Linked DNA regions of Mytilus edulis. The protein of the gene in region 2 interacts with the protein of the main gene of each other region in a pairwise test. Links are inferred from orthologs where the notes say so. Each region holds a gene or a part of one and is shown on either strand. Other genes may lie near its edges.

The links.
Region 1: the proteins of peripheral plasma membrane protein CASK-like (region 2) and protein lin-7 homolog C-like interact in a two-hybrid assay, tested with the Drosophila melanogaster proteins (2 studies listed by BioGRID). The link is inferred for Mytilus edulis from reciprocal best matches to the Drosophila melanogaster genes CASK and veli.
Region 3: the proteins of peripheral plasma membrane protein CASK-like (region 2) and voltage-gated delayed rectifier potassium channel KCNH1-like interact in binary tests that used the Drosophila melanogaster proteins (3 or more experiments, as listed by UniProt). The link is inferred for Mytilus edulis from reciprocal best matches to the Drosophila melanogaster genes CASK and eag.

What each region holds. Positions count from the first base shown.
Region 1 is NC_092350.1:93,079,426-93,087,339, forward strand, and holds the start of protein lin-7 homolog C-like, read left to right. Parts: upstream 1-4,805; 5' UTR 4,806-4,838; coding exon 4,839-4,878; intron 4,879-7,914.
Region 2 is NC_092346.1:104,008,477-104,016,401, forward strand, and holds the start of peripheral plasma membrane protein CASK-like, read right to left. Parts: upstream 3,035-7,925; 5' UTR 2,864-3,034; intron 1-2,863.
Region 3 is NC_092346.1:102,702,142-102,709,922, reverse strand, and holds the start of voltage-gated delayed rectifier potassium channel KCNH1-like, read right to left. Parts: upstream 3,070-7,781; 5' UTR 2,759-3,069; coding exon 2,680-2,758; intron 1-2,679. UniProt on the Drosophila melanogaster protein: Structural component of a potassium channel. Mediates the potassium permeability of membranes; potassium current is regulated by CaMKII and CASK. Has a role in growth of the perineurial glial layer of the larval peripheral nerve.

The DNA.
Region 1 (7,914 bases), on a different chromosome or scaffold from region 2:
GGTCGGCTATTGGTTGACAAATAGACCTACATTGGTTTTGGTTCATTACATTGGCGATGAGACGATATATACACCTATGGCACATGGTAATAGCAAACATGATGGTGAGTTCAAAAGAACAATGCCATCAGTAATTGATAAGGTAAAGGACCATGTAGGTAGTGAGGGTGCCAAAAAATTATATAGGACTATGGTATGTTCTGAACAAGTCGAGGGTAACATGCAAGGTGTAGCTAATCCTAGGAATAGCAAACAGGTAAAGAATGCACTTCAGAAGCGGCGAGGTGATCAGTTATTGAGTAGAGATGATTTATATATTTTTTTTCAGCTATCTTCCCATTTAGATGGGTTCGTGAAACAGTTAACACTTTACCCAGATTTAGTGGCTGTTGTAAGCTTACCAGAAATCATCACTCAATTTAACCAACTCTTAGATGTTAAATCTGATGAACAGCTTTATTTATCTTATGACACCACATTCAACCTAGGTGATTGTTACGTTTCGGCCATAGTATTTAAACATATTCTTTTCAAAGAGACACCTCTTATTCCTTTGGCTTTTGTTATTCATGATAGAAAATTTGGAAGTGTTCACGAGACTTTATTTAACTTTTTGAAATTTGCTGTTCCGAAAATTTCCAAAAAAAGAATTCCCATTGTAGTGGACAGAGAAGCTGGTATACGAAAAGCTATTAAAAATATTTTGCCTGATTGTCCTATACTTACATGCTGGAATCATTTACGAAACGATTTTAAGTACTGGTTGAATAAAAAAAAAGTTTCTCCTGATAATATCAGGCTATATCATCATCAGTTAAAACAGATGCTTCAATGTGACTCTGAGAATGAATTCTTAGAGCTTTCCAAAGATCTGACATCTAAATGGACATCCGAAGTTGTGTCATATTTTGAAAAAGAGCTAAAAACTGATATTTTAGAGAGATCAGGAAAATGGGTTTTAGAACAGTTTGAAGGTTTATATGACCCATACTCAGGTATCACAAACAATCTGTCAGAAAGTTATAACGCTGTTTTAAAACAAGAAAACGATTGGAAAGAGTTACCAGTTGATATGCTTGCTTTGGGTTTTCATTTTCTACAAAATTTTGATCACTACGAGATTCTTAGAGGTTTGGCAGGTGTTGGGGACTATCATTTAAAAACAGAGTTTTCGAGGGCAAAAATTGACATACACGATTTGTTCATACCTAAGAAACTCATAGCACCATCCGATATAATTTCGTACCTGAAAACAGCACACATAAATACACCACAGTTGTCGTCTCCGTCTGCTGAAACGACAGAAACAGTGGAAGATCTATCCGATTCTAAAACTGAACATAGTACACCCACCACACCAAAAGAAAAAGACACTCCAGTCATTAATACTATGTTTGACTTTCCTGCTTTTGTTAGTAGTCAGCACGCTTTGGCAAAGTATATAGTTGACAACAACCTAATCACACTTGTTCCATCTCAAGCAGCTTTCATTGTTCAAGGTCGAAATGGTAAGTATTGTGTCACTTTATTTCCGAAGGAAACTTGTCAGTGTCCATCTACTACTACATGCTTTCATATCCTTGCAGCAAAAATGAGCATTGGTCAAGAACCCATTGAAAAAAGACCAGTAGTTAGTCTAAGAGTTTTAACAAAAAATAACAGAAAGAGAGTTGACAAAAAATCAGGAAAAAAACAACCTAGGCAAAACGATTACGATCCTGTTGTAGAACCAGCTCCAGACTCGGCTTATTTAGTCAACACACCAAAAACACCTTCACAAGTACATTCAACACAGAAATCACCACAGAAATCAGCATTAAAAACAAAATCAAAAACACCACATTCTAAAAAGAAACTTCACTTTAATTTGGAGACTGTTAGCGAGGAAGAAATTGATACATGTCCTATTTCACCAGACGAAAAAAAGGATAACATAATTACATTAGATGACACACCACCAGGTCAAAAAGAGAAAACTTGACTTTCCATCTCCGCCAATTTCGATTGAAATTGAACAGGAAAAAAAAACAACCATGGATAGGTACACTTACACAAGTAGACAAAAAAACTATTTCAGATAGTAAGTGCTTAACTTCCGACATTGTTAATTATGCACAAAACATTCTTTCAAAACAGTTTCCATTAATCCATGGTTTTCAGAACACATGTTATGCTCCAGTTTTCTGTAATCAACAAAAAAAATGGCTTTCTGAGACAAGTTTTACACCTACACAGGCTCCAGCTGTACAAATTCACCATACAGGGCATTCACACTGGGTCACTTCTTTAACCAAACAATCAAATGAAGTCTATCTATTGGACAGCGTGTATGACACACTTACAACATCTTCAGAAATACAGCTTTCACAAATATATTCACATGGTAAAAAAAGGCTTTTGGTCAAGTTACCAGAAGTTCAGAAACAAACTAATTCCATAGATTGTGGGTTGTTTGCAATTGCAAATGCTGTAGAATTTTGTTTTACAAGTTTTTCAGGTGGGATACATGTAGAATTTGACACTGAACTTTTAAGAGAACATCTTGTGATTTGTTTGGAAAAAGGTGAATTTATTCCATTTCCAAAAAAAAAAATTAGCATGAAAGGTAAACCGAAATATAAAACCAGTGTTGTAGAATGTAACTGTGAGTGTGGAAAATGTGATTCAGTAGAAGACATGTTAGGATGTGAATGGCAAAAAGGTGTTAAAAAATGCAACAGTTGGAAATAGTTATCAAAAGTACCAGGATTATAATTTTATACGCCAGACGCGCGTTTCGTCTACATAAGACTCATCGGTGACGCTCAGATCAAAATAGTTAAAAAGCCAAACAAATACAAAGTTGAAGAGCATTGATGACCCAAAATTCCAAAAAGTTGTGCCAAATACGGCTAAGGTAATCTACTCCTGGGGTAAGAAAATCCTTAGTTTTTCGAATAATTCAAAGTTTTGTAAACAGAAAATTTATAAAAATGACCATATAATTGATATTCATGTCAACACCGAAGTGTTGACTACTGGGCTGGTGATACCCTCGGGGACGAAACGTCCACCAGCAGTGGCATCGACCCAGTGGTGTAAATAGTTATCAAAAGTACCAGGATTATAATTTTATACGCCAGACGCGCGTTTCGTCTACATAAGACTCATCGGTGACGCTCAGATCAAAATAGTTAAAAAGCCAAACAAATACAAAGTTGAAGAGCATTGATGACCCAAAATTCCAAAAAGTTGTGCCAAATACGGCTAAGGTAATCTACTCCTGGGGTAAGAAAATCCTTAGTTTTTCGAATAATTCAAAGTTTTGTAAACAGAAAATTTATAAAAATGACCATATAATGGAAACACTTTTCATGTACCGGATTAAAAGATGGTGACACATTCCTTTGCTCTAAACACATTACTAATTAGTGAATAAACACCTTTGATGATTTGACACCAATCAGTGACTTTGAAGTTTTTATTACTGTCAAAACTTAATTTGGGATATTATAGTTTTTATTTTATTTGGTTTTTATTGTTTTGCATGATTATTTATTTTATATATATGTATGTGTATAATTGAAATGTTTTTGATTAATAAAATATAAGCCCATGCCCTTTCAACGATATGTCTGCTGCCTTTAATAAATAAATCTGAAAATAGATCAAATTATTCAACATAGCAAATAAGTAAATATTATTTAAATAAACACACAGATAATTGTATTTTCTTTCTTTCATATTTCCATAAAGCTGAATATTCGAACTTTCCTATAAACATGATTGTTCCTGCCAGACATTAATTTTGAAGAAAAGATTAATTTGATTTTAAGCGAATTTCTACCAATTTTTTTACGCATAAGGCAACTGTCCTGGCAGATTTTTTTTATGTTAATGAAATAAAAGTCCATATTTTTTTATATTTTCTGGAAGCTTATACTCTAAACTTTACAATGCACCTACTTTTGTTTACCAGACATTTATTTTGAAGAAGATATTAAACTTTATATTATGACCTTAGACTAATTTCAACAAAATTTCTGACGTAATAGTCTACTGTCCCGGCAGATTTTCCTACCTTTAAAAGACGAAAAAAATATTGAATTGTAGATTTTAGAAATAAAAGTTTGTTAAACTTTATTATCATACAAAAATAATATGCCAGACAGTTGATTTGGAGAATTTATTTCAATTATAAGTAAAAAATTCTCGGCAATTTCAGCCGTTTTTAGCTTAAAATTTAATGGAGTAGGCTACTGTCCTGGCAGATTTTTTTTACGTTAATGACATAAAAATTCATATAATTTTATATTATCATAAAGCGTATATTCTAAACTTTCCAATGAACTAACATTTGTTTACCAGACATTTATTTTGAAGAAGATATTCAACTTTATATTTTGATCCTGAACTAATTTCAACAAACTTTCTAATGTAAAAGTCTACTGTCCTGGCAGATTTTTTTACCTTTAAGAGATGGAAAAAAAATAAAATTATAGATTTTTATAATTGATATTCCATAAACTTTACAATCGTACCAAAATATTATGCCAGACAGTTGTTTTGGAGAAAATATTCCAATTATAAGTAAACTTTTCACGGCAATTTCAGCCATTTTTTTCTTAAAATATAACTGTCCTGGCAGATTTTTTCTTACTTCTTAATTTTTTTTATATGTTTTTTTTATTAATAATGTTAGTAAATACTTTCTTCTTTATTATACAATTAAAATTTTAACCATGTGTTGAGTAAAACAAAAGTTACAGATAAAAACGTATCGAAAAAAAGTGTCCTGGTTTTATCTGTCCTGTTAATAGACCTTCCCTCCAAGGGGAAACAACTGCAACCAGGAAGTCATGGCGTCGATAAATGTTGAACCGCTTCATTTAGAAAAAGGTAAATTACGATATCAAAGCATATGTTGCAATGATAAACATTGTGTAGAGCGAAACAGAAAAAAAAAGCCTTTTACACCTTTGAAAGATATTTAACGTTTTTGGTTTTGTGTAACTAACTAACTAACTAACTAATTTTATTCAGTATAGAGGGGGGGCAAGGGGGTCCCAATAACAGCAAAACAGCAAATTGATTTGGCTCATAACAGATAACAAGGAATTAAAATGGACAAAAACAGATAACAGTAAATGAAATATTAAAATAATTCGGTCTTTGACAAATCAGTATTTCTTATTGCGGATATAATCCTTTGTAATGCGTTCCATTTTTTATGACTATGTTTTTAGTATTAATTTATGTAACTAGAATGTGTTTAAATTACTCCTCAAATAATATTTTTTATACGCTCGTTTACAGAACGTATTATGGTATACTGTTGTCCGTCTGTTGTCAACATGTCGGACATTAACTCAAAAACTCTTTAACCATTTGCATTAAACTTTGGGAAATTGTTTATATCTATTGACGTGAGCTCCCTTTTTTTTTTCTTTTTTTTTTTTTATAAATTTTAGATTTTAAGTTTCTGGATAATGGGTTTTTATTCAATAAAATTGGTGGTTTTTTTTCAGTCTTCTGATAATATCTCAAAAATGCTTTCACAAAGCAAGGAATTTTGTTGAATTAACATGAGGTAACTTTCAATTTTTATAAATTTTAGATTTTACGTTTCCGAGTTAACGGGTTTTATTAATTAAAAAGGGGTGATTTTCCAGTTTTCAGACATTAACTCAAAAATGTTTTCAGCAGTTCTCATGAATTGTTGGTGTATTGTTTATATATATTGACTGAAGCTCCCTTTGTTGCTAATCAAAAAAGTGACCTAAAAGAGTTTGAATATTCTGAATTTTTCTAAATGACCATTTAATGAGGTGTGTGATTTTTTCTTAATAAAACTATGAGGCGAAGTGGTATATAGAGTAGAAAAATCAAAAGCACCAATTATAAGCATGCAATTTATCAAGTACTTCGAACGAATTTTGACACTCTAAAAGCAATTAATTCCACTATTTTCAAAGGCCTTTTTTGAACAATTTTTTATCAGCTGAGGTTTTTGATTGTACCAAGTGTACTAGTAAGTAGAATACATAGTTTAGTAGGGAAACAATGGCTTGAAACGAAATAAATCTTTGTTTGTAATGAGTTATGTGCAGCTTCGGACCCAAGTACATGGTTGGAACTTTCATTGTACAATGCATTTGGTTCTGCTTTGAAAAGAATCACAGAGCTGAGTCTATGTACAATATTATATAAAAGGTTAAGTGGTTGTTAGGACCTAGTCCTTAATTGAGATCCTTGTCAGATATTCCTGGCCATATGTTTTCCTTTTTGTCATATTAAAAATTGTTTTAATTTAATATGTTCGTACGGAAAACAAGGAACATTATTCTCATACAAAAAATTAAGATAATTCTAAATACACATTCATAAAAAAAATGGAATTTATTACAAAGGATAATCATAATTGTCCTGGACCTCACTTCTGTGATGGGTATATGTTAATGGAATCCTTCTCTGAATACGGGACAAACATATTAGTAGTGGTAGACCCCAATGGCCAATGATCTTCAATTTATACCGAATATTGACTGTCAAAAAAAATGCTAACATTCCAATTTTCAATAACAGTTAACAGCAAATACATTATCACAATAACAGATAACAAAAAAACTAAAAGCCCAATAACAGCTAACAAAGAATAAGACAATAACAGCTAACAGCAAATATATTTTCAAAATAACAGATAACAAAGAATAAAATTGCCCCATAACAGCATAACAGTTAAACCCCTTGCCCCCACCCCCCCCCCCACCCCCACCCCCACCCCCAGTATAAAATCCAGTACAAAAGGATCATTGCTGAAACACATAAACACATATAAAAAACATATACAAAACAAAAATAAAACATAACAGACAACAATTTTGACACTTATAACAAGCAAAAGACAAAACTCACATTTCAATATTATGCAATTATTCCCACTGATGAATGTCTAATCAAAATACATTTGTCTATATATATAAGAAAACTGGTGAGAACATCAGTCTCCGAACAGTTCATTAAATATTTAAATTTATCAAAATTATCTAAATTGCAAAAACATGGTATAATATTAACAATGTCATCATAAAACATTTCCCTCTCCTCGTGATAGAGGTTGCATTCACATATATATGAAATGAAACTCATCTTCAATTTTGTTATCAATACAATGTGTACATATTCTTTGATCCAAAGGCGTTTTATTATATCTGCCTTTTTCAATGTGTAAACTGTGGTTAGAAATTCTTAATTTACATAATTGTCTAACATATTGTTTTGGGATATTTAACTTTGTATAAGTCTCAGGTTTATATTCCTCTTTTAACTTGTAATATGTTCGTAGTTTGTTTTGCTTTTCATCTGACAAACATGAGAAAAAGTAATTTCCATATCTTTCTTGTAATATCTTTTTCACTGCAGATATAAGTTTTCCTTCTGACATAGTTCCTTTATTATTCCAAACATGGTCAAAATTAATTAATTTTAGAAACTTAAAAATGTGTTTATTGAAGGTACATGGAAAGGTACAATCAACTTTTTTGATTGACTTATATGCTAATTTTGAAAAATTCAAAAGAGGGTCTTTATACAAATATAGCCAGTATTTAAGAGATTGCAAAATAACAAATATAGAGATTGGATAACGACCAAGTTCTGCCATACTGGCAATATTAGGAGCATATTTAGTGGCACCAAGTACATATTTACAATATCGAATGTGAACCTTTTCAGGAGCAAAATTTAAAAAAGTTTTTTCTAAATCATCATTTGAACCTTGTGTTAATCTTTTGTCCAGGTTAAGAATGTACGGACCCCACAATTCACTTCCATAGAGAAGGACTGGTTTTACACAGGAGTCAAAAAGTTTTAAAAGCAAAGGTGTATTATTATGTGTACAGTGAAATTTACGTTTAATCATGAAAATTACTTTAA
Region 2 (7,925 bases):
AAAATTCAATTCAAAGCACAGGAAGCTAAAGATAATTTTTATTTTGCAATTTTGTTAATTTTTTAAATAAAAGATTGAATTGTAATAACTAATCAATTTGCAAGTTAAAATTTTATTTGCAGTTATCTTCTTTTGTTCATGATTGTAAATTATCATTAAATACTGGGCAAAACCTCCAATAATGAGTCAACAGAAGATTAATTATGTAAGCCTTATTTGTAGAAATTGTCTTGCTAATCATTCATGCTATTTACAGTATCTATCTATTACTTTTAAAATAACAAGCAAAAATGTGAAAAAAACGTAAATCAAAAGGGCAATAACTTCAATAGGGATTCATGTAACAATTTCGACTTTTTTGTTGATTTTGTCTTGCTGATCATTTTTACTCCTTAAAGTTTCTATTAGTTTATTTAAGATATAAACAAAAGTGCTAAATTTGGTAATCGTCAATAAAGGGCGATAATTTTATAAAGAATAGACCGAACATTTCAGATCTATTTTTGGTTTATTTGTAGATCCTGTTGTGTTGAACATTTTTTAAATTTAAAAATTCTATCTAATGTTATCTTCTCTTTGGTTGGGTTGTTGTCTTTTTGGCATATTTCCAATTTCAATTTTGTCTTTTTGTCATTAAGGGCATTAAGTCATCTGGCAGTTTTGACATAAATGGACAATAGGTCAAGCTTGACATTCTGAACATTTTTTACCAATAGACCACTTTCGAGTTCATCCGTCACCGGCAAAAACTCGTCAATTATACGCGCCTTAATGACGTCATTTACCAGATAGAGGGGGTCGCCTGTATCCCTGCACTATTTACGTTCATCAAGCGTCTTAGTGATCGTCTTTGTGCAGGATAAACTAGAAATAATGGTTGTTCTGTAGGTACATTATGACAATTCCCTAATGACAGCAATGCTGATTGTCAATTTTGAGAATTCAATTTGCCGAATAATTCGTACAATATAGAATTATAGTTTTCCAACCACTCGCTCAACATTGGAATGGAAGTGACGACGCCCCTAAACGCACAAATGACGTTCACTAAAACTAAAGTTTTTGACGGAAATGCACCGAACTCGAAAGTTGTCTATCATATTTTCTTTATTGATTGCAGGTTTTCAATACAATAGCTAAAACTTGCATTTCACCCTGTTCTTCTATTTTTAACCATGTTGGAATGGACCTTGGTTAAGGCAGGCAGGGTCATTGGACAGTTTAAAATTTGATACCCCAATGACAACTGTGGCCAAGTATTGTTTAAATTTGGCCAAGTAGTTTTTAAGGCGAAAATTTTTGTAAATGTTGAGAAAGCAACATTCATAACACTTATAATCAAATGACTAGGCTACTTACAAAGCTTGTTTATAAATGTCCCTGAGACGACTGAGGTTTATGTAAAGCAATGTTACTGTTTTTCTTTCGTTAATTAGTAAACAATAGTCGTTCTTCCTCATACATTTCATAATACTGTTGTAGCATTTTTTGGTGTCACACCACCAATTACTCCCTCCAATTTAGAACGTATGTGAAAGTAGGCCTACTCAGACAAAAAATAGTACACTTGATGTCATAGTTTACTTAAACTAACCAATAAATTGGCAGAAATGAAACTTTTGGTGAAAGAGAAATATATTAAGACCATTTTGAGCTAAAATTTACTTGTTTATGAGTTTGCATTCAAAATTGAGGATTAATGCACTCCATAGTACATGTATACTATTAATTTAAGATTTCCAGAAAACCAGGGGTTTTTTAATGGTACAATGTATCTCTATTCCGAAGACCTTTTCTTTTTTATATGATTTTAAACATCTGTTGAAAATTGGCATGTAGAAAGCCGATACATGTACGATTCAGGATATACCTGGTTTCTATGAAGTTAAACTTAAGGTAAAATATTTAGAAAGCTGTGAAAATTGCAAAATTTGGTTGAACAGATAGGGACTTTTAATTGGTGGTATGACACCTTTTGTGTTAGGAGTACACACATGACACTAATAAAGTCCATATAGTGTGAACATGAAAAGGTTTAACATATTAACTGAGATGTATAACAAACATATTATGATTGAGCAGAACATAACGTTAACGTTGGTACTAGTAAATGGGGAGTTGACACCTGGAAAGTTGAATTAATTAAGTTTGTCATAGATTCTAGTATGAAGACATCAAACTTGAGGAAAGATCAAGATATGAAGCCATCTTCTACATTAAGTAGTATCCTGAATTTCCAGTAAACCGAGGTAAATGAGATGTAAGCCCTCGTTGAAATGTGGGTTATTGATTGTCTGAATTGAAGTTAGAGAACTTTGCAAGATGATTTATTTCCTTTGCAAATTTGGGAAATGTTTACCCTGTCTAATCATAATAAAATTGAGTCAATGTTAAATGCTTGTATTTATAATTATCTTTTTTATATATTACATGACATTGTTTGGATTTTAATTTTATAACTTTCTTCTTCATCTGTTCATTATCACCTCACTTCATTTTATCTAAAGGGAAAACTGTTCACACAGAGAGCATCATGAAATGTAATTTATGCAAATGTATGTACTTACACAAAATATATGACTTAGGGAAAAATTAATGAAATCTAGACTATGTATTTAATAGTAATATTAATAAAACAACTTGCCTATCAAAATTTCACTCACAGGCACTTGCTTAAGTTAAGTTCTGTACCGAAACAAAACTATACAAACTTTAGTTTTAGGAATTTTTAAAGGGAGTTTATTTTTTTACCAGGAACAAGTGGCAGTCTTTCCACTTTAAGTGAAAAGTGCAAAACATTTTAAAGTTTAGCATGCTCCAAACAGTTGGTATTGTCATTATCATTGCATAAACTTAAACTTACAAGTTATTTGATGGCCAGTGTCATGTCAGGTAGGCTTCCCTTTAACTGCCTTAAGAGTTAATAGACCGTGCAGGTTTTAATTAACTGCTTAATCAAGTAATTAATCGTTAAATAGCAGGTGATGTGTATTGATGTGATTCTTTACTCCATAGCGGAAGTACCAGGTGCGCGACGAATTATGGGGTCAGATAAACATTTGGGCGTTCTCAAACTACATAATTTCAAAATCCCAATCAAATCCAAGATAACTACCAACACTAAAAAATAAGATATCCATAGAATTGTGATATTATTTTAAAACTGAAATGATTTTCAAATATATATCACCATGGTCAAATCATAAACATTTTAAAATGTTTATTATAATACACTATATAATCCGATAAAATTGTTGTTGGGCTGAAAACTGATTAGACAAAAGTATTTTAAACCTGCAAGTATAGCTAATATAGTCTCAAGTGGAAAAAATGAAAAAAAATATACGATGGTTTAAATTTGCGATTTGATATAGTTGTTACGTTTCCGCTTTCCACTTTAAATCAAGGATTTTAGTGTACTGATAGTGTCTCGGGCGATATGGGGAAATATACCCCCTGTTTCTAAATATTTTTTTTATGTTTTCATTATTTCTTTATTGAATAGGTGTTATTCTTTTAGAATCATTGTTTAAAACATTTGTTTAAACATTGTACCTTTTATAAACAATTGCCTTCAAATTTTATCATAACTTTTTTTTATCCAACGCAATCATAGGTTTGAACGTAGTTTTGAATTCAGACTTCAAGTTTATATTTTTTCGTTTGGACTTGTATCATATTTTCTCTCCGGTTTATATGATCCGTTCATCCTATATTGACTGTTAAAATTCAAGAGTCTATCTAAAAATGAGGGCAAATTCTATATGGCCTCCCAAATACCGTTTTGATCCCTAACATCACTGAAGAGACATTTATTGTCGAAATCCGGATCTGGTGTACAAAAAACACCTTAGTTTTGTGGCATTACATCATGGCCACAAGTTAATTGTTTTCTGTTTAGTATTAAATTTATATTAAGATCCATTTTGTTACATCTTCAGGCGCGTAGCTGCATATACGCTAACACGCAGTTGCGTGCACATCGATTCGGCATCCAAAAAAAAATATGGCAAAATAAAAATATAAATTAAATGATTAAAGGAAACACATATGTTGTCACTATTTTTGGATTAATGAAATGTCATTAAATAACGGCATTTGGTTTCAAAATAAAAGTTTTATTGGAGATCATGAAAAAATCGGACAGCAACTTGTATCTTTTACAAGATTTGAATTTGTTATACTCAGTCTAAGACATGTAGTTTTGGAGCACATTTTACTGAGTACGGTTTATCTGTTTGGAATGAGATGTACCAATCGGCATTAGATTTATCAGATCCTGAGGCGATGTGTTCGACAGACAACAAGACCCAATCACCCTGCAAACACGCCAAAACAGTATTGGAAAGTCTCATTATATTTTGCGTTCATAGACCATATGATAATGAAACTGGAGAGTGGAGTCGCGTCTGGTATTATTAGAAAATCGCTTCTTTGCGCCGTATCTGCTTCCTTGTGTTGTTGGAAATATAACAAACGAAGAAATCTCTGAGACATACGAAACTGACCTGGCATGTAATTTTGACGTATTCAATTGGGAGGTCGCTCGATGGCGAACACGTACGTTGATTTATAACACCTCGCGGGTGCTACCGTGGAGATATATCAAGGTAATACGTCTGTTGAAAACTTGCAAATGTACGATCAACAATGAACAACGACAGGTTATCATCGCTAGCATTACTGCATATTCATCGGGAATTCAGTGTTAATATTGACAAAGTAATAGAGAAGTTCGTTTCTGCCTAGACCCGAAGAGCAGATTTTGGACAATTTTGAGTAATTTTGGTATCACAAAAATGTGTTGTTTATGTATTCAATTTACCATGATTTACTCTATTCAGAAGATTAATAATTAGTTTTCATTCATAAATTGTTTATAAGTCCTTTCTACATGTAGCTCCTCTTTTAACCGTCCTATGACCGAAAACCGAAAAAAAAAAATCTGCATAAAAGGGTCCAAAAAATTTTTCGCCTCGCTCCGCTCGGCGGTAGTTGCTTGCACATCGTTTCTTTCTAGCTACGCCCCTGATCTTGTGATCAATTTTATTTGGCAATCGCCAATGGCATTCAGCAGGGTTAAAGGACATCAGTTGTTCGACCTGTTAGTCAAATGCCCTTTGTTTAAATATACTTTTTCACTTTTTTGGTCTTTTGGAAAATGTTGTTTGTGCTGTATTTAGACCCTTCAACAATACAATTTGTTTTACATGCACACGTATAAAAATTGCGGTTTTTATCCAACGCAAATTCAGTGGCGTAGCTTGCATGTATGCTCGGATGCTCAGCATCCACATCATTTTGACAAAAATAAAATAAAAATAGCAGCAGCTTAACATTACATGTCATATTTTTATCTATCAAAGGGCAATTAGGAACAAGGCATAACTAAAAAAACACTTTTTTCTTTTCAATATCTTAAGAGAAATAAAAGCTTCACAGCAAATGAAATGTGATTTCCATTACAATTTATATTTTAAAGGGCCATAACTGGTTAAAAATATTTGATTACGACTTATTTTCCAAATTGTCAAAGACATTGCTTAAGATATGAGATTCATTTAATCTAACAAAAATTGTACACATGAGAGTGCTAACAAGACCAGACGATCGGACGCCCGGTATTTTTATGTCTCCTGCAACGCGTTTAGCTCAGTAATCAAAAACCAAAAACCCAAGGTTGTAGACTCAAATTCCTGGAAAGAGAAGTCACTTCAGTTCCTATATTCCGAAGTTCCTAAATTTTACAGAAGTGCAGCTGTAATGAGGTCCGTTTTTGATATGTCAAATATAAGATTGGGTGGGAAACTTTACATCAAATATTTATGAATTGAATGATGGTAGTTTCGAGGAAACAATAAAATTTGGTTAAAAATATAAATATATGAATTGGTGGGTATTTTGAATTTAAACAAAAATCTAACTAGTGTCGGATTCTGGGGGAGTACATGTGCTTAAATAAAAAATATTTTTCTGCATAAAAAGGTAAAAAAAAAAATTTCGCCTCGCTCCCCTCGGCGAAACATCCACATCATTTCAACCCTGACTACGCCGGCCACTGGCAGTCATAGGTTTGAACGTAGTTTTCAATTACAACTCGTCTAAACATCAACCCAACAATGTTAGATCTGTAAATTTGCTTTAGCAAATTCAAATTTTTTGTTCTTCCCTCGCCGGGATTCGAACCCATGCTACTGAAATATCGTGACACCAAATCGCCTGCACTGTAGCCGTCCCGCTAGGCTATCGGGGCTTCACAATAATAAAGCTTTTGGTGGCCGTGTGTTACCTTGCCTCGTCAGTTTTAATCTAGTGTCGTACTACAGTACATGATATATAAGGCATGGAGATGTTATTGTTACATATCAGCTCAATTATCTATAGTAAAGGATCCTACAAATTAATGTAAGATACAGTCACAGAAAATAATTATATTTATAAGTACGTCTGAGTCTTTACAAATAAAACTGACTAAAATTGTTGACTTGCTGGTGACACAGGTACAGATTATGATCATGCATGCTGCAATATACAACAAATAGTCTGCTGCAGATATAAAAAAAAACAACAACACAGTTCTGCGCATTATTTCAGTGGTATTAGTAAAGTCGGCAAAAAGGGAAGTTGTCATTATTTACTTTGTTGATGCAGAGACATACATGGTAACCGAGATTATATCAATATTTCTTTACAGCCAATTACATTGAGTGTGTAGACAAAGGTAATATATTTGGTTAGCTTGTTTGCTAGCTGAACCGTGAAGTTATTATTAAGTTCGGTAAACTTCCCTCCTTTAAGAGTAGACTAGTCCGACAGATAACCAATCTATCTGTCTGTAGGACTAGGCTACTTCGAAAGAAGGGTAGTATACTTAACTTATAATGACTACGGTTCAGCTAGAAAGCAAGCTAACACCAAAGATATCACCTTTGCCTACACACTCAATGTAATAGGCTGTAATTTTAAACTGATACTACTATAACAGATACTATAAGTCTAGTATAATAGTCTCAGTACTAAATAATTGGCTTCTTGTGTCTTTATTAGTCGTTAACCATATTGCATTGAGTGGATAAACAAATACAATATTTTTACGCGATTTAGACCAGGTGTTATCTAGTTGTCCACTAGAATTATGTTTACACTGCGGCAAAATACAGTAGAAAATAGTCTTTTATCAGGGCATAATCTGGCATCTACCAGATTCTTGGTGAAATTACTCTAAATTTGTAGTTTAAAATTTTCCTCTGTTCAAAATAACTGCATGGTGATATTGAGATATATTCAAAAACTCTTTATATATCTGAATATTTTGCGGATTAATACTTTAATTATCATTTCGTCGTAACGAGTTGGGGGAAGGAATAAAAGACCTAAGAAACTAATGGATTAATTTTGTTACTTTGCATGTAGGTCTACAACTTGGTGAATGCTAAGTCCAAGCCTATGTTGGTCACCGTACGATCTTCAATAATGAACAACACCCACCCCGTTAAGTCAGCTATAAAAGACATTGACATGACAAAATACGGCAACGATATTGGAAAGAGATGATCAACGACTTATTTGTTACAAAACAATACAAACCAAACCAAACTAATATGACATCGACAGCAACCAACGGCAACCACTGAACTACAGGCTCACTGAGACCAAGAACAGGCTCATTTAGAATGTGGGCGAGGTTAGACATGTTTGTGAGAGCTCAAGCCTCTCATAAACCAGTACATTGGTGTAACAACATAAGAGCAACGCGTAAACATCAGTTGGGAATGTGTTGTATTTGATTCATTAGATTGTTGAGAATAAAATTCAGAATAAAAATGGGTAATGTGTCATGAAGACACCAATTACCCGACCAAAGAGCAGCCGACGGCCACCAATGGATCTTCAAAGCAGGGAGAAACTCCCGCCACCGGAGGCGT
Region 3 (7,781 bases), about 1.3 Mb from region 2:
ATGGTCAATAAATTTGATGTGTTTTGCTTAACGTCCAGTGGCAAATATTTCACACATGTTCACGACGAGAACAGGTTAACAATAGATACGTAAGGTTTGTACTGTAATGATGGACATTTTATTTTTGATAAATTTTGGTGGCATTACTGATGCTTGTTGAGAGATAATTCAAACAGCATATACCATGTTTTAAATCAAAACATACACTAAACGAATAAATGTTATCTATGACACTAAAAAAAGAGCTAGTTTATAAGATACGATTTTAGATCCCTTTTCGGAACAAACCTTAACGATTATGATTGGCGTTTCAAACAGTATGAAATGAGAGGAAGACGTTAAAAACCAACGATTATGGTTGATGATTTAAACAGTATGAAATGAGAGAAAGAAGGGAAACCCAACCATTATTGTTGATGATTTGAACAGCATGAAATGAGAGAAAGAAGGAAACCCTACGATTATGGTTGATGATTTAAACCGTATGAAAGGAGAGAAAGAAGGGAAACCCAACGATTATGGTTGATGATTTAAACCGTATGAAAGAAGAGAAAGAAGGGAAACCCAACGATTATGGTTGATGATTTAAACAGTATGAAAGGAGAGAAAGAAGGGAAACCCAACGATTATGGTTGATGATTTAAACAGTATGAAAGGAGAGAAGGAAGGAAACCCAACGATTATGGTTGATGGTTTAAACAGTATGAAAGGAGAGAAAGAAGGGAAACCCAACGATTATGGTTGATGATTTAAACAGTATGAAAGGAGAGAAAGAAGGGAAACCCTACGATTATGGTTGATGATTTAAACCGTATGAAAGGAGAGAAAGAAGGGAAATTCAACGATTATAGTTGATGGTTTAAACAGTATGAAAGGAGAGAAAGAAGGAAACCCAACGATTATGGTTGATGGTTTAAACAGTATGAAAGGAGAGAAAGAAGGAAAACCCCAACGATTATGGTTGATGATTTAAACAGTATGAAAGGAGAGAAAGAATGGAAACCCTACGATTATGGTTAATGATTTAAACAGTATGAAATGAGAGAAAGAAGGAAAACCCAACGATTATGGTTGATGATTTAAACAGCATGAAATGAGAGAAAGAAGGAAACCCAACGATTATTGTTGATGATTTAAACAGTATGAAATGAGAGAAAGAAGGGAAACCCAACGATTATGGTTGATGATTTAAACAGTATGAAAGGAGAGAAAGAAGGGAAACCCAACGATTATAGTTGATGATTTAAACCGTATGAAATGAGAGAAAGAAGGGAAACCCAACGATTATGGTTGATGATTTAAACAGTATGAAAGGAGAGAAAGAAGGGAAACCCAACGATTATAGTTGATGATTTAAACATCATGAAAGGAGAGAAAGAAGGAAACCCAACGATTATGGTTGATGATTTAAACAGTATGAAATGAGAGAAAGAAGGGAACCTAACGATTATGGTTGATGGTTTAAACAGCATGAAAGGAGAGAAAGAAGGAAACCCAACGATTATGGTTGATGATTTAAACAGCATGAAAGGAGAGAAAGAAGGTAAACCTAACGATTATGGTTGATGGTTTAAACAGCATGAAAGGAGAGAAAGAAGGAAACCCAACGATTATGGTTGATGATTTAAACAGCATGAAAGGAGAGAAGGAAGGGAAAGAACAGGGATTATGATTGATGGTTTAAACCGTATGAGAGAAAGAAATAAGACGGTTATCACATGTATACTTCTAGATAACAGTAGGTTCGGTTGTGTTGTCTTTAGAATTGTAATAAGTTAAATCTTCAAGTATTGTTTTACTTAAATATCGATTAATGGAAATGGGGAATGTGTCAAAGAGACAACAACCCGACCATAGAACAGACAACAGCAGAAGGTCACCAACAGGTAAAACATACTTGTAAAACTTTAAAGTCGACATTATAAACACTTTTTGAAACATTATTCCTACAAATTTTCATTAGGAAATTGTGTTGTGCTGTATGACTTACTGGTCATATTGGTATTGCAGTATACATTTATGAAACTTTTTTTTCAAAATTCCCTCTTTCTCTCGTTACTTTTTTCTTCTTTACTAATTATTAAGCCAATCGTTTACAATCTAAAGATAATTTCGAATTCGATAGATGTTTGTACTTTTTACTTGAAACACTTTCTTAAGGTTCAATTTCATTCGGAATATCTTTATCCGTCTATTTCGATGAAATCAGCTATTTGAAAATGAACATGCTCTAACCAGAAATATATGTCTCCGCTTCAAATGTATGTACTGTTTCATTATTTATCAGATTCACATGTGTGTTCTTCGTTACAGAAAATATATTATAAAAAATATATCTCAAGTCAATTTGAATCACTTAAATTATTTTAATTTTAACTAAATATTTGACAACATTTTTATTACCAAATAAAAGCCGACAGACACGGTATCTTTATCCAAAGTGTGTTATGTTGTCTCCCTCAAATGAAAACGGATCGTGATGTTTAAAGGTTCTATCTGCTCCTTTTCAATTCCGTATACACGTGTCCAGAAGAACAGTAAATAACGTCAATGGAATAAATACAAATATACCAAAAAAAGGTCTTAATAAACAACAAAGATCACAACAACTAGATACAATATAATTGAAAAGAGAAAAACACCAAAAGAAAGACAGACTACGTGTGTTTTTTAACTTACGCTGTCCATTGGATCGCCGAATAATGTTTTCCAAAAACGTATTTTGTGGAGCCACAAGGCCCCTCCTTGCACCTGGCATTTTTATGGATAATGAAGAAAACAATGAACAATAGAAAATTTTGTACACAAATTAACCCATAATTCCATATTTGTCAACTGTTAATAAAATTTCCGTTTTCAGTTGGTTCAAAAGAACATTCTGGTCCAAAAAACATTTTTTCCTAACATGTCTAAGTCATGTTTATTTTAATTTTCGATATTATGTACATGGTCAAATCGGTTTAATAATTAATAACCATTTTGTTATTATTGCGCATGTGTCGCACAGGTGACGAAGCACCTGACAAGTTCGTTTGATACTGCTAATTCGCAGCCATTCTACAATAATATGATGTTAGTTGTTATGGTAACGTCGCCTATATTGTTATTGTCGCACACCCGTAACCGTTTCTGATAAAAGTCTAGGCAATTTTTATCAATTCTTTCAATCAATGCAAAATTTAGATGTAAAGGGAGTTTTAAAAATATGATTTTAAAATATTTGCATGATTGAATCAATTATTATTGGAGACTGCAAAACGATCATTTGCGCGAGATTGTTTAATCGATTTACAGAAGCTATATTCAATTATTTATTCATGAAGGTAAAGGTGTATGTTAGACTTGCTTTGTTTGGTTAACTATTGATTTACTAATTTGTATGATTTAACTGGTTCATTTAAATTGCACCATTCGTTTTTTGTAGAACATATAATTTGTCTTTTTAAATAGCAGTTTGCTCGGAAAATTCAATATTAATCAAATGTAGAAGTTGTTTTTACTTGAATTTTTCAGTATATTTTTCTATGAATCCAGTTCCAAAAAATAAGTTATCCCTATTCACTTTAACAGGAAACACTAAACACGATAACAATACTGAATAAAATTATGACCATCAATCAAGATGCAATTTCCTTTCTATTGCTTATTACAACTGTTTAATTTATGAAGTTAAATTTTCAAATGATTTTATGTAACGTCATAAAAGGATAAAAAAATAACACTTCCCTATATATCTTGGCATTGAAACTGTGTACAAAAAGGGCGCCTTTTCACCAAAGTCCCACTGTACAATTAGTTTATTTTAAAAATAGAGGATTGCCAATATGTATCTTTCTTGTTAATTCTGATGAGCTTTTATCGGATCTTTCCTGTTAATATGGAAAAGTTTCCATCCTATTTTCTTGTTTATTTGGATGAGCTTGCTTGCTATCTTTTTTGTAATTTCAGATGAGCTTCCATCTTATTTACTTGTTAATTCGGATGAGCTGTCATCCAGCTTTCTTGTTAATATGGTTGAGTTTCCATCCTATTTTCTTGTTAATTTCGATGAGCTTCCATCTTATCTTTCTGGTTTTTTTTCTTCAGATGAGCTTTCATCTTATCTTTCTTGTTTATTCAGATGTGCTTCTATCCTATCTTTATTGTTAATATGGATGAGTTTCGTTTTCTTATTAGATGAAAAATAATAACACGCTTTTACCTATTACAAGTACGTACGGGGCGCCGAATGGGACTCTTGTGGTTTTGTACAAAATTCAATTCTGTCATAACAAAATCATTTTTGTCTTACAAAACTATGTGCTACAGACTTGTTTTGTGAGAACTTCAATTTTGTGATGACAAAATTCATTTGTGTAGACAAAATTCATTTTTGTCATGACAAAATTCATTTTTGTAGACAAAATTCATATTTGTCATGACAAAAGTCAATTTTGTCTAAAAGGTATGCAAATATAAACATATTTGCATACAAAATTGACTTTTGTTACCTGATATGGAAATTAAATCACAAAAGTCAATTGTGTGAGGTAAGATTCAATTTTGTGAGACAAAATTGACTTTTGTGAGACAAAATTAACTTTTGTGAGACAAAATTAACTTTTGTGAGACAAAATTAACTTTTGTGAGACAAAATTGACTTTTGTGAGACAAAATTGACTTTTGTGAGACAAAATTCAATTTTGTCAATTTTGTTGAGATAAAAGTCAATTTTGTTAATTTTGTTGAGACAAAAGTCAATTCTGTCAATTTTGTTGAGACAAAAATCAATTTTGTTGAGACAAAAGTCAATTTTGTTAATTTTGTTGAGACAAAAGTGAATTTTGTTAATTTTGTTGAGACAAAAGTCAATTTTGTTAATTTTGTTGAGACAAAAGTCAATTTTGTCAATTTTGTTGAGACAAAAGTCAATTTTGTGACGACAAAATTCATTTTTGTGACGACAAAATTCAATTTTGTAACAACAAAATTGACTTTTATGTGACAAAATTGACTTTCGTGAGACAAAAATCAATTTTGTTGAGACAAAAGTCAATTTTGTCAATTTTGTTGAGACAAAAGTCAATTTTGTCAATTTTGTTGAGACAAAAGTCAATTTTGTCAATTTTGTTGAGACAAAAGTCAATTTTGTCAATTTTGTTGAGACAAAAGTCAATTTTGTCAATTTTGTCTCACAAAAGTCAATTTTGTCAATTTTGTTGAGACAAAAGTCAATTTTGTCAATTTTGTTGAGACAAAAGTCAATTTTGTCAATTTTGTTGAGACAAAAGTCAATTTTGTCAATTTTGTTGAGACAAAATTCAATTTTGTCAATTTTGTTGAGACAAAAGTCAATTTTGTCAATTTTGTTGAGACAAAATTCATTTTTGTCAATTTTGTGTAACAAAAGTCGATTTTGTATGCAAATTAGTTCACAGAAACCAAACTAAACTAATTTGAATACAAAATTGACTTTTGTCACCCAATTTTCAAATTAGGTAACAAAATTCAAGTCTGTGTAACAAAAATGAATTTTGTCATGACAAAAGTGACTTTTGTCCGCTGATAGATAATTTTGTATGACAAAATTTTAAATTTGTAGTATGATACAAATTTTGTTAAACTGAACTTATTTTTGTTGAACAAAAGTCACTTTTGTCCGTACAAAATTGAATTTTGAGTACAAAACCACAAGAGTCCCATTCGGCGCCCCGTAGTACGTGTATGTCTATTGGTAAAAGAAATGTTGTTTTCTGATTATTGAGTCAGGTCACGCATCGTTAAGCTTTTTCAAAAATAATATGAACCTTTTTGCTAAGTAATAATATAGTTCTATTTAACTTGACTTTCTGAAACACATTGAATATTATTTTTCACCTTTCAAATATATCATTATATATTGAAATGCGACCATTTTAGATCCAAAACGTGATATTTTCTTAATGATTCTTACAGGATTGTATGTCATCTTGTGTTATCTTAAACAAGTACTGCAACTTGTCTTTAACTTATTGCGCAGTATTATTAAGCAAGTTAAATCGTTTTGACAGACTTTTTTTTCTGATTTCTTCCAGCTTTTGAAAATACAGCACTTTTTTCACAGAAGCAGAAATAACACGATCCAATACCAGATCTTTCACGATTCAATTGCAATGCTTTACCACCATTAGTTATCCTTTCACGATAAATTTTATCGATAAACCTTATGACACCGGTGTCATCCGAACTAACAAATGAACGTCCACCAGAATAAACAAAACTGATAGTGTGGAAGCACATCCGAATTTACCAAAAAGATAAAATGGAAGCACATCCGAAGTTACTAGATAGATAGGGTGAAAGCTTATCTAAATTAACAAGACAGATAGAATCGAAGCTGGTCTGAATAAATAAGAAAGACAGGAAGGAAGGAAAAACATCCGAATAAACAAATACAGATAAGATGAAAGCTTATCCGAATTTAAAATAAAGATCAAATGAAAGTAAATCAGAATTATAAAAAAAAAGTCACAAGAAAGCTCATCAAAATTGACAATAAAGATAGGACGAAAGCTCATCTGGATTAACAATAAAGATAGTTTGAAAAATCATCTGAATTTATAAGAAAGATATGTTGAAAACTCATCCGAATTAACAATAAAGATAGGTTCAAAGCTCATTTTAATTTCTTTAAAAAAAATGGGATGGAGGCACAACATAATTGATAATAACGATAGGAGGGAAGTTCATCCGAATTAACAATAAAGATAGGTTGGAAGCTCCTCTGGATTAACAATAAAATAGGTTGAAAACTCATCTGAATTAACATGAAAGATAAGTTTAAAACTCATCCGCATTAACAATAATGATGAGATGGAAACTCATCCGCATTAACAATAATGATGAGATGGAAACTCATCCGCATTAACAATAATGATGAGATGGAAACTCATCCGCATTAACAATAATGATGAGATGGAAACTCATCCGAATTAACAATAATGATGAGATGGAAGTCAATCAGAATCCACAAAAAAAAAAGATCAAGGGTCCAATTTAACAAGAAATTAGGATGGAAGTTATCTTAATAAACAATAATGATAGGATGAAAACTCATCAGGATAAAAAAAATGAAAATAGGATGGAATCTGAATTAACAAGAAAGATAGAATGGAAGCTCATCAAAATTAATAAGACAGATGGGACGGGAGCTCCTCCGAATTAATAAGAAAGATAGGATGGAAGTTCATCGGAATTTACAAGAAAGATAGGATGGAAGTTTATCTGAATTACCAAGAAAATAGGATGTAAGCTGATCAGAATTATTAATAAAGATAGTATTGAAGCACATCAGTACCAGTCGGTACTTGGACATAATCAAATTCTTTTTAAAAATGAAGCAAAAGCATTAAGATAATTCCACCAATCTGTAAGATTTTTAAGTAAATCATTAAAACTTTTTGCTTAAATGTTTAAGAAGTTATTCGTTGATACCATGCTTTTACGTAAGTTTAAACATGGGACAATATTTGTCAATATCTTTATACCTTGTGTCATTGTTGTACTTTAACTGAAATTTGATATGTGCATATTCCCAAAAAACTGTCCTATATGTTCTCCCATTTATTTAAAAAGTAGTCCTGTCATGTAATTTTGTCATTTTAATGTTATATTTAACACTGCCATAAAAGCGCGAGGTTTGGCTAGCCACAAACCCAGGTTCAACCCATTTTCTTTTCTCTTAAAATGTTCTGTATCAAGTCAGGAAAATGGCAGTTGTTATCTTATTGTTCGTTTCTGTGTGTGTATTGCATTGTCGTTTT